2 linked regions of the Yarrowia lipolytica genome follow. The protein of the gene in region 1 binds, or shares a complex with, the protein of each later gene. Links are inferred from orthologs where the notes say so. Each region holds a gene or a part of one and is shown in the gene's direction. Other genes may lie near its edges.

Region 1 (4,556 bases):
CAAGGGTGACGGTACTAAGGAGACCCTTGAGATGCCTTACGGAACTCTTGTGTGGGCCACCGGTAACACTGTGCGACCTGTTGTTCGAGAGCTCATGTCCAAGATCCCTGCTCAGAAGGGCTCCCGACGAGGTCTTCTTGTCAACGAGTACCTTGTTGTTGAGGGTACCGAGGGCATCTGGGCTCTTGGTGACTGTTCTGCCACCAAGTACGCACCCACTGCCCAGGTTGCCTCCCAGGAGGGATCCTACCTTGCTAACCTGCTCAACGGCATTGCTAAGACCGAGGACCTCAACAACGAGATCACCAACCTCGAGAAGCAGTCGGAGCACACCTTTGACGAGCAGGAGCGAAAGAACATCTTTGCTCAACTCGAGTCCAAGTCCCGAAAGCTGCGACGATCCAGAGCCATGCTGCCCTTCGAGTACTCTCACCAGGGTTCTCTGGCCTACATTGGTTCCGACCGAGCCGTTGCCGACCTGTCCTTCAACTTCTGGGGTATCATGAACTGGTCTTCCGGAGGAACCATGACCTACTACTTCTGGCGATCCGCCTACGTGTCCATGTGCTTCTCCATGCGAAACAAGATTCTTGTTTGCATTGATTGGATGAAGGTCCGAGTCTTCGGCCGTGATATCTCTCGAGAATAAGCGCATAAACCTATACAATAAATTTTAGATTGACAGTACAACTGAGGGCTGTAATGAGTAAGAGTGGTATCACTTGGTTGTATTTGACGGAACAGTTGTATACAATTATAAAGAGTTGCAGCTTCTCCATCTGCAGTATTGCTGTAAGCATGTTTGTGGAAGGTTTCATACTGAACAGAATCCCTCGTATAAGTGAACCCCAAAGCCAATGTTTTAGAGGCATTGAGACATAAGACTGCATGTTTCTTTTTGCTCATTTCACTTCTATATTTCTTTTTTGTGTCTGCCACTTCTGTATAATTCATTTCAATCAACACAATAGAGTTCCATAAGGCGTGTGGTGCATATTGTCAACTGTGGATACCTGTTCGTACAATACGTGAACATACTAACACACACCACAAATGATCACGAAAAGGCTACTGCGGTTCCTGCTGGGGCCTAGTTTTGCCACCAATGAGAATACAGAAACAGAATCTCTTGCTCTCAACCACGAATTGCTCAACGCCAAACACAAGATTCTCAACAGCTATGGACGGTCTTCCCTGGAGGCCGAGAAGATTGTACCTCCTCCTACTTCAGCCGCTGATCTGGACGCTCTGCTTGATCCTGCCGAATCAAACGACTATGTCGACAAGTGGATGCGAGCCTGGGAACTCGGTATTATCCCTGAGGGGATTGTTAGAGGTATAGAGATGATGGGCATGTGGCCCCTGGAGGTATCTTGGGCTAGATACCACACAATTGGCAGATCCGGAGGACAAACATACTGGCAACTACTGAAGGGAACTATCCACAGCGGCAATCCGTTCCCCGGATTCATGGCTTCCCTGGCGCAGAGTATGGTGGAGGAAGCTATCTCAGACCAACCGGACGCAGGCTCGTATACGTGGGAGAACGGGACCATGGTCAAAAGCGAACACAAAATCAACATCATAAGCGTGCTCAAGGGCAACCACACAATGGCTGAAATCATCCCCTTTGCCCTGAAACACTTCACGGCCTGCATCATGTCATTCCCCTTCTTCTACTACTCCTCCATGCAGATTTTGGGGGTGTACAACAACGTCGACACCCCCAACAACTCGCCCTGGGGCCCGTCTATTGCCTGGCTGCAGAATTTCTACAACCCCTGGACTCCAGCTCTACCCAATGTCGGAGTCATGGCCGTCTGGCATGTATCCAACTACTTTCTTGGTCTGGTGGGTCGAACGCATCTGGCTGAAATCAACAAGTCTCACGGACAAATGGGACCCGAAGTGGCCCATCATATGCCTCCATTTGCGGTTTTATATGAGAACTTCCTTCGATCATCCTTCATCATGAGATGCATGACTTCCAATCTGTTTGGTTTCTTCTTTTTCCGGTTTGCTGTCGGCAAATCTTTTGGGGATGACCTGCAGATTGATTTCCCAGATCTCTGCGGCGCTATTGCTGTTGATACCGTGGTTAGATGTGGTATCAACCACTTGTACATTCTGTCCACCTGGATTATTGAGAGATCTGTTTACGGGGCTGACACAGAGGAGGAGGAGACGTAAATGTACATAGGTCTACATCGCTACATAGTTGCATTATTTATTTGGTATTCAAGAAAGAGAGACATTTTTTTCCCCTTTGAACTGGTGTGCTCGTTTGTTGCATTTGTACATCAGGAAACGCGTTTCCCTTCGTCATTCCACATTTTAAAACATCACACTCTTATCCTTAATGACCATCCTAAACGGTACATGTTGCTTAATAATCAAACCCTAATAACAAGAATATGCATGGCTGGACTCCCCGGCCAAATTCGTCCAGTACACATCTTTTACACCAGCAACAACCAAACACAATGTCCGCTCGACGCTCGAGACGCAATTTTGATGACGACACGGTGGAAGCGTCCAGTGACAGCGAAGGCAAAAAGCGCAAGTCACGGGCCGCCGACAAAGCAGCAGCCGTACCTGAAGAGGATGAGGAGGTCGAGGACTCGGATGGACTGGTGGAGTCCGAGGAGGTTACACGGTGCATTTGTGGCCACGAAGAGTTGCATCTGGACCGGGCTGCCAAGGCTCTGGAAATTGATCAGGGTCTGTTTATCCAGTGTGATTCTTGCTCTGTGTGGCAGCATGGCTACTGTGTGGGCATGTACCAGGAGTCTGAAGTTCCCGATGTCTATTACTGTGAGAAATGCCGACCCGACCTCCATCAGATTTTCCTACGGCCAAGCGGCCAGACGTCCATCTACAACAAGTCTGCCGACGACGATGAAGACGAAGAAAACGAGGATGGCAACGATGAAGGCAATGGTAGCCGGGCTTCGGTCAAAGAAGAAGAGCTCCTCCCGCCAAAGCGTCAGCGCAGCAGCCGAGCGTCTTCTTCGACAGCCTCAGACAGCGGCACTGGTGCAACACGCGAGTCTGCCCGCGACCCTCCCCGAAGCAATGGAGAGGAGCCTGCAGCTGCTAGTGGCCCCAGACAACAGTCCGGGTCCACCCCCGAGCAGGGAGGAAAGCGAGGTACGGGTAGAAGTCGACGTCCCGATTCTGCTGCTTCTGCCGCTGGCTCTGCTGATGATGGCTCTGAAGACATCTCTGACGCAACTGGCGAGGCAGGCCGTGACTCAACTCGCAGCAGACGCAATTCGAGCTCTCGTCGTGAGATAACCACCTCGTCGCGACGTCGCAACAGAGACACATATGAGGAGACTCTCAAGCGGGTGCTTCAGGAGAGCGCCCGCGAAGCAGGCAAGGACAAGGAGGTCAAAGAGGAAACCACAACGAGCAAGAACTCTACGACCAACAACAATAACGCCACAGCCAACAACAGCAGCAGTAGCAAAAAGTCATCGCCTGAGACTACTGGCACTGCTTCTGGAGCAGCAGCTGCAACAAATGGAACAACCAACGGGTCAGCAGCAGCCTCGGGAACGTCGGAAACGCCGAAGCGGAAACGCGAACAGGAACTCCAGGCAAAGTCGGATATGGACGGCAGCGACTCGATGGACTCGCCTGTGGCCAAGGCCCGGAAAAAGCGCAAGACAAAGACGTCGGTGGGTGCTGGAGGAGCAGCCAACTCGCCGAAGCCGAAGGAGACACCCGAATACAATGACGAGCGGCCATCCAAGCCACGGGTACCTCATTCACGAACTACAATGAGCGAGATGCGACGACGGGTAGCTGCGATACTGGAATTTATTGGCCGCACACAGATGGACATGGCCAGTGACCAGAACAAGATTGGAGATCAGGTGGTGCTTAGCTCCACCTCTGCAGATATGATGGATGGACTAACTCGCAAGCTGCTTCTGTGGGAACAGGAGTACGGTAGATATGGCGAGCGAAGGTGATTAACAGAATATACTTAATTTATTGTATCATTATTATTTAAAGGTATTTTGCCGTCGGAATAGCCGCTCCGCAAAAACCGTTGCACGTTGTGTGAGAGGAAACCTATTACAGGTAACAATTGGGGATGTGTCTCAATTTTGGGTATTGCGATAAGCTAATTGTAGCGGTTACTACCTGATCTACAATGTAGCTTAGTGTCGGTTATCGATCTCTATATTCGTATATTAGATGCCAAGAACAAGAAGAATAATGTATGAAGTAGACATGTCATTTCGCTTAGGTGGTGCTGTGAGCCTTTGCGGGGGCCACTACAAATAATAGGGAAGTTTTGTATGCGTCTGCCATGTGCATTGCTCCGCTACTATTCACTTCAACATTCGACGCGTTTCTACAGTCATGGATGTGAGAGTGGCTGGGTTTATATTACGAAAAGGCTCCAATATGTTGAAACATTTAGTACAAGTACCTGTAGCTTGTTTTCTACTTCTCCCCATTTCTCCATCCCTCCAAGAACACTCCACATCAAGCAATTAGCCGTTGGGAAAGCCGAAAGTACAAGTAAGGTAAGTTGACTT
Region 2 (4,345 bases), on another chromosome or scaffold:
TACTACAGAGGACTCTGCCGAATCCGACTCTCCCACTGCCTCGCCCGCTCCTCCTGCCACTCTTGGCTCCATCATCGCTGCTGTCAAGGCCCATTCCTACGACTCTGAACTCTTTGATTCTTCCACTTCTACCAACCACCACAGCTTGTTGACTGCTCGACCTCGAGGTATTGTTAACAACGGCAACGTGTGTTTCATGAACTCTATTCTGCAGATTCTCGTCCACTGTCTACCCTTTTCTCGACTGATTGATTTGATTCGAGAAAAGGTGCCCCGGTCTCTTGACGGCGATTCTCCTCTGACTGAGGCTGTGGTTGATTTCCTTGACGACTACAAGCGAGGCGCCGTTAACGGAGTAAACGGTGGATCCACTCCTGCCACTTCCAAGCTGCCCGATATCACCATTGACTCCTTTTACAAGAGCATTGTCAGCGTGCCCCGGTTCAGCCATTTCCAGCGAGGCAAGCAGGAGGATGCTGAGGAGTTCCTTGGATACCTGCTTGACGGCCTGCATGAGGAGTTCGTAGCTGTGATTGGAGCCAGGGAGGAGGCTGCTGCTAAAGAGGAGGGTGCTACCGGCAGCGCTGAATGGACACAGGTGGGAGCCAAGAAGAACTCGACGACCCGATCGCCTCAGTTCCCCTGGTCGCCCGTGTCAGACATTTTCGGCGGCAAGTTTGAATCCAACCTCGATGTGCCCCGTCAGTCCGTCTCCAAGGTGCTGGAGCCCTTCCATGTTATCCATCTAGATGTGGAGAATCCCAACATTACTTCCGTGGAGTCCGGTTTCAAGGCTCTGTCTGCCAAAGAGCAGGTGGAGACGTTCGGAGAGGGTGGAAGACCCATCACGGGTGCTAGCAAGCAGACGTTACTGGAAGAACTACCCCGAATCCTTGTGGTGCAGCTCAAGCGGTTCACGTATTGCGGTGATGACCTGATGGATCTGCAGGTGCGAAAGATCAACAAGAAGATTTCGTACGGCGCGGACCTGTCTGTCCCCATGGAGTCGCTGTCTCTCAAGGCTAAGCAGCAGTTCCGAGCCTCGGGAGGCAAGTCCAACCAGTACAACCTCGTGGGTGTTGTTTTCCACCACGGAACCAGCACTACCACCGGTCACTACACTGTTAACGTGCTCGTGGGCGGTACCAAGTGGTACCGAATCGATGATGTGAAGATCGAGGCCATTCGAAACGAAAATTGGTACGCCAAGGAAGAGGATGGCAAGGACGACAAGACCGCATACCTGCTGATCTACCAGAGAGTTTAGACCTCCAGCGCAACCTCAGGATCCGATAGTTGGTTTCTCAGGTTGTTCTGCCAGTGATGAAAACTTCACAGGCTTAGTTGGTGGTGTGTGGTCCAGTGGGTGGTGTTACGCTTCTCGTTGGGCCGCTTGCCACATACCAACGTGGTGCGTGGATCTGACCACGAAAGCAGGTCCATACTGAAACTGATCGAGCTGCCTTGCCAGCTGCTGAGTCCGTCGTGTAGACGACGAGGAGAGGGAGACAATGTTTTCTGACTCGCCATGGAAGAGCCCTCCGCCGGGCTGCTTGCCAAATGTCAGCCCCAAAATAGCTGTATTTCTTAGACATTTATAGCTGAATGACTTGTATACATACTGGTAGGTGTAGGTAGACGCGACGTTTGGGTGCAAGTACTAGTAGCCATTGGTATGCTCATTGATATTGATTACTTGTTGTTGCTCACACACTCGTACAAGTACAAGTATAGTACTGTTGTGGTAGTACGAGTCTCACAGGGTTCTTCTCATGGAGCTCTCGGGTTCTGGAATGAAGGTCGAGACATACTGTAATGACTACACGGCAAGGCAACTGCCGTAGGGAATGACGTTCATTTTCGTATGTATTTACAAGTAGTATTTCTCCCTATTGACTTTGTTGCCATGCTACTACTGCAAATCCGTATAATGATCAACTATTATCAAATTCGAGCTGCTTTACCGACTGCCTTGCATCGATGATATCCCATAAATCTCGTACAGTACCTATACTGAGTAATTACGTCTCAAGTATAAAGGTCAACAAAAATAGTCATTTAGTTAACCTCAGCAATATTGGCTAACTTTAAAAATATTTCCTCCCACCGAAATTCGTTTACCCTACCTCATGCATGTTCATGCAGGTCACTTTCTCCGACATCATAACTTGTACACACCACACGTCATGAAAGGATACAACACTCGATCGTCGTCGCGCCGAGCCCAAGACAAGCCCGTAGGTCTGTATCCTGGTCTCAACGACCTCACTGATGCTCTGGAAGCCTTACCGCTCGAGACTGTGCGGCATTTCACTCTTCTGCGAGAAATCGACGCGAAATGTACCACGACTACTCCTCTTGTGGCGGATCTGATAGCCAAGTTTCTGGCTATTCCACCGGCGGCCAAGGACGACCCCGAGTGCGCGAAGAAAACGGAAGAACGGGAAAACATGCTGCTGGAGATTCGGGGTTTGATTCGAGAGCTCATGCCCTGTTTGGAGGAGAAAATGCACGTGGCTGGGGTGGCGGCCGAAGCGGTGGCACGACACATTTCGCGTATTGATGCCGATTATGAGCTAATCACTTCACGTGAGATCCCCCAGGTGATTCAGTACGGAGAGCCTGACCATCCTGCCATCATTGTGGATGTCAAGCCCTCTGTGGCCGAGCGAAGCGCACAGAGCCAGCGAAGCGAGTCGCGGCGGGAAGCCATTGCTGCGAAGAAGGCTGCCGCTGCTGCTGCCGCCGAGAAAAGCGGTAATGGAGGACGAAGAGGCACTCCCAGCAAGGAGGGAGGCAAGGACAGTGGAAAGGAGACTGGCGGCAAGAAGGCGGCAGCCACTAACGGCGCAGCTGCCGTGGGAGCCGGAGCCAAAAAGAATGGCGAGAAACGAACCGCTACCTCTGCTTCAGTGTCCGATACCGTGGCTTCTTCTGCCGCTGCTGCTGGAGCCAAGAAACGGAAGACTGCTGCCAAGGCTTCTCCTGCTCCTGGAAACAGAAAATCGCCTCCATCGTCAGACGACACACCCGCAGCTTCGGCTACCAGATCTGCTCGTTTGGTTAACAAATCGAGAAAGGGGCAGGAGGCTGCTGAGTCTGCCAAGGCCGCGGAGGAAGAGGAGGACGACGGAGAACCGGTCTACTGTTACTGTGAACAGGTGTCCTACGGAGAAATGGTGGCCTGTGATGGTCCCCAGTGCACCCGGGAGTGGTTCCATTTGCCTTGTTTGGGCCTCAGCTCGCCCCCCAAGGGTAACTGGTACTGTGATGAGTGCAAACAGGGTAGAAAGAGGTAGAGAGACAGACTCGGAAAGTCGTTCGTTGTTATTAGTGGGTGTGGATTCAACATCGGCTTTCGGATCTTGTGGTCATGAGAGCAGATATTCAGCGTGCGTGCCCATGCCTGGATGGGCTGCTCCACTTCTTAAGCTCCAATTGAGTGCCGAGACCGAGCCAGCCAGGATTCGAAGCCCTAGATATGATTCCAAGTCATCCGGGCATCTCCAAACATCTATCCTCTCAGTTATTTATTACGGCCCATTAATGCTTGGCCCGACACCGGTGTGCAAGGCTCGTGAGTGACTTCAGTCACACGTATTTAATGTATCTGTTTATTGTATTTTTAGTAGGAGGAGGCTGTAGCCAACAGGAGATGCGATGTCGAGACTTGAGACTTGAGATGGCGCACATTGAAGAACTGTGTTTACACGAAAAAGAGATTCAAGCAGCGGAATTCAAGAACGTGAGTTCTAATACCGGTACTTGTACTCATACCACAAGAAACATTGGTCAATTTGAGCAAGACAGGAACGAGTCCAAGTTGGGTATTTATTTGCGGTGCGTTTGAATTCCAAAATACTGGAACATTTTTTTATTTTTTTTACAATACATACGAGACAGTTGAGACATACGGCGAATATCAAGTATTATAGTTGAGTATTTCCTCAAGCTAACTAAAAGCGGACCTCTCACATCTAAACACTCTCCATTTGCTTGCAGTACCACTTCCAAAGGAACGAGGATTATGAGCGTGTTGTATAAAAAACATTGAGATAAGTAATTGTCAAATATAGTGAATAAAATACAATACACTCCACATTATCGAATTTGACGAGAACAGTGGTACATCCAGAAGTGATTTCAGCGGAAACTTAGTCAATGGACGTTCAACAAGAGGAAGAGTGATAGAAGAGACTCCATCATATCTGGATGTGATTGTTTCGGCAAGAAAAGCATCTATTTTGTGATTTTTTCCCCTTTTTTATATATATAATTGCTACACATTGCGATATTTGACACCCTCAATAGCTCCAAGCGCAACCAGTTCACGTGCGGCAACCTG

What was found.
Region 2: YALI1_F32512g (region 1) and YALI1_E10712g share a complex: the UniProt entries of both Saccharomyces cerevisiae proteins name them as parts of the RPD3C(L) complex. The link is inferred for Yarrowia lipolytica from reciprocal best matches to the Saccharomyces cerevisiae genes CTI6 and PHO23.

The regions. Positions count from the first base shown.
Region 1 is NC_090775.1:3,248,798-3,253,353, forward strand, and holds YALI1_F32512g (uncharacterized protein), read left to right. Parts: upstream 1-2,414; coding exon 2,415-3,980; downstream 3,981-4,556. Other genes in the region: YALI1_F32476g (uncharacterized protein), read left to right, coding at 1-649; YALI1_F32498g (uncharacterized protein), read left to right, coding at 1,054-2,190. UniProt on the Saccharomyces cerevisiae protein: Component of the RPD3C(L) histone deacetylase complex (HDAC). Responsible for the deacetylation of lysine residues on the N-terminal part of the core histones (H2A, H2B, H3 and H4).
Region 2 is NC_090774.1:1,070,172-1,074,516, reverse strand, and holds YALI1_E10712g (uncharacterized protein), read left to right. Parts: upstream 1-2,186; coding exon 2,187-3,274; intron 3,275-3,317; coding exon 3,318-3,585; downstream 3,586-4,345. Other genes in the region: YALI1_E10755g (uncharacterized protein), read left to right, coding at 1-1,267. UniProt on the Saccharomyces cerevisiae protein: Component of the RPD3C(L) histone deacetylase complex (HDAC) responsible for the deacetylation of lysine residues on the N-terminal part of the core histones (H2A, H2B, H3 and H4).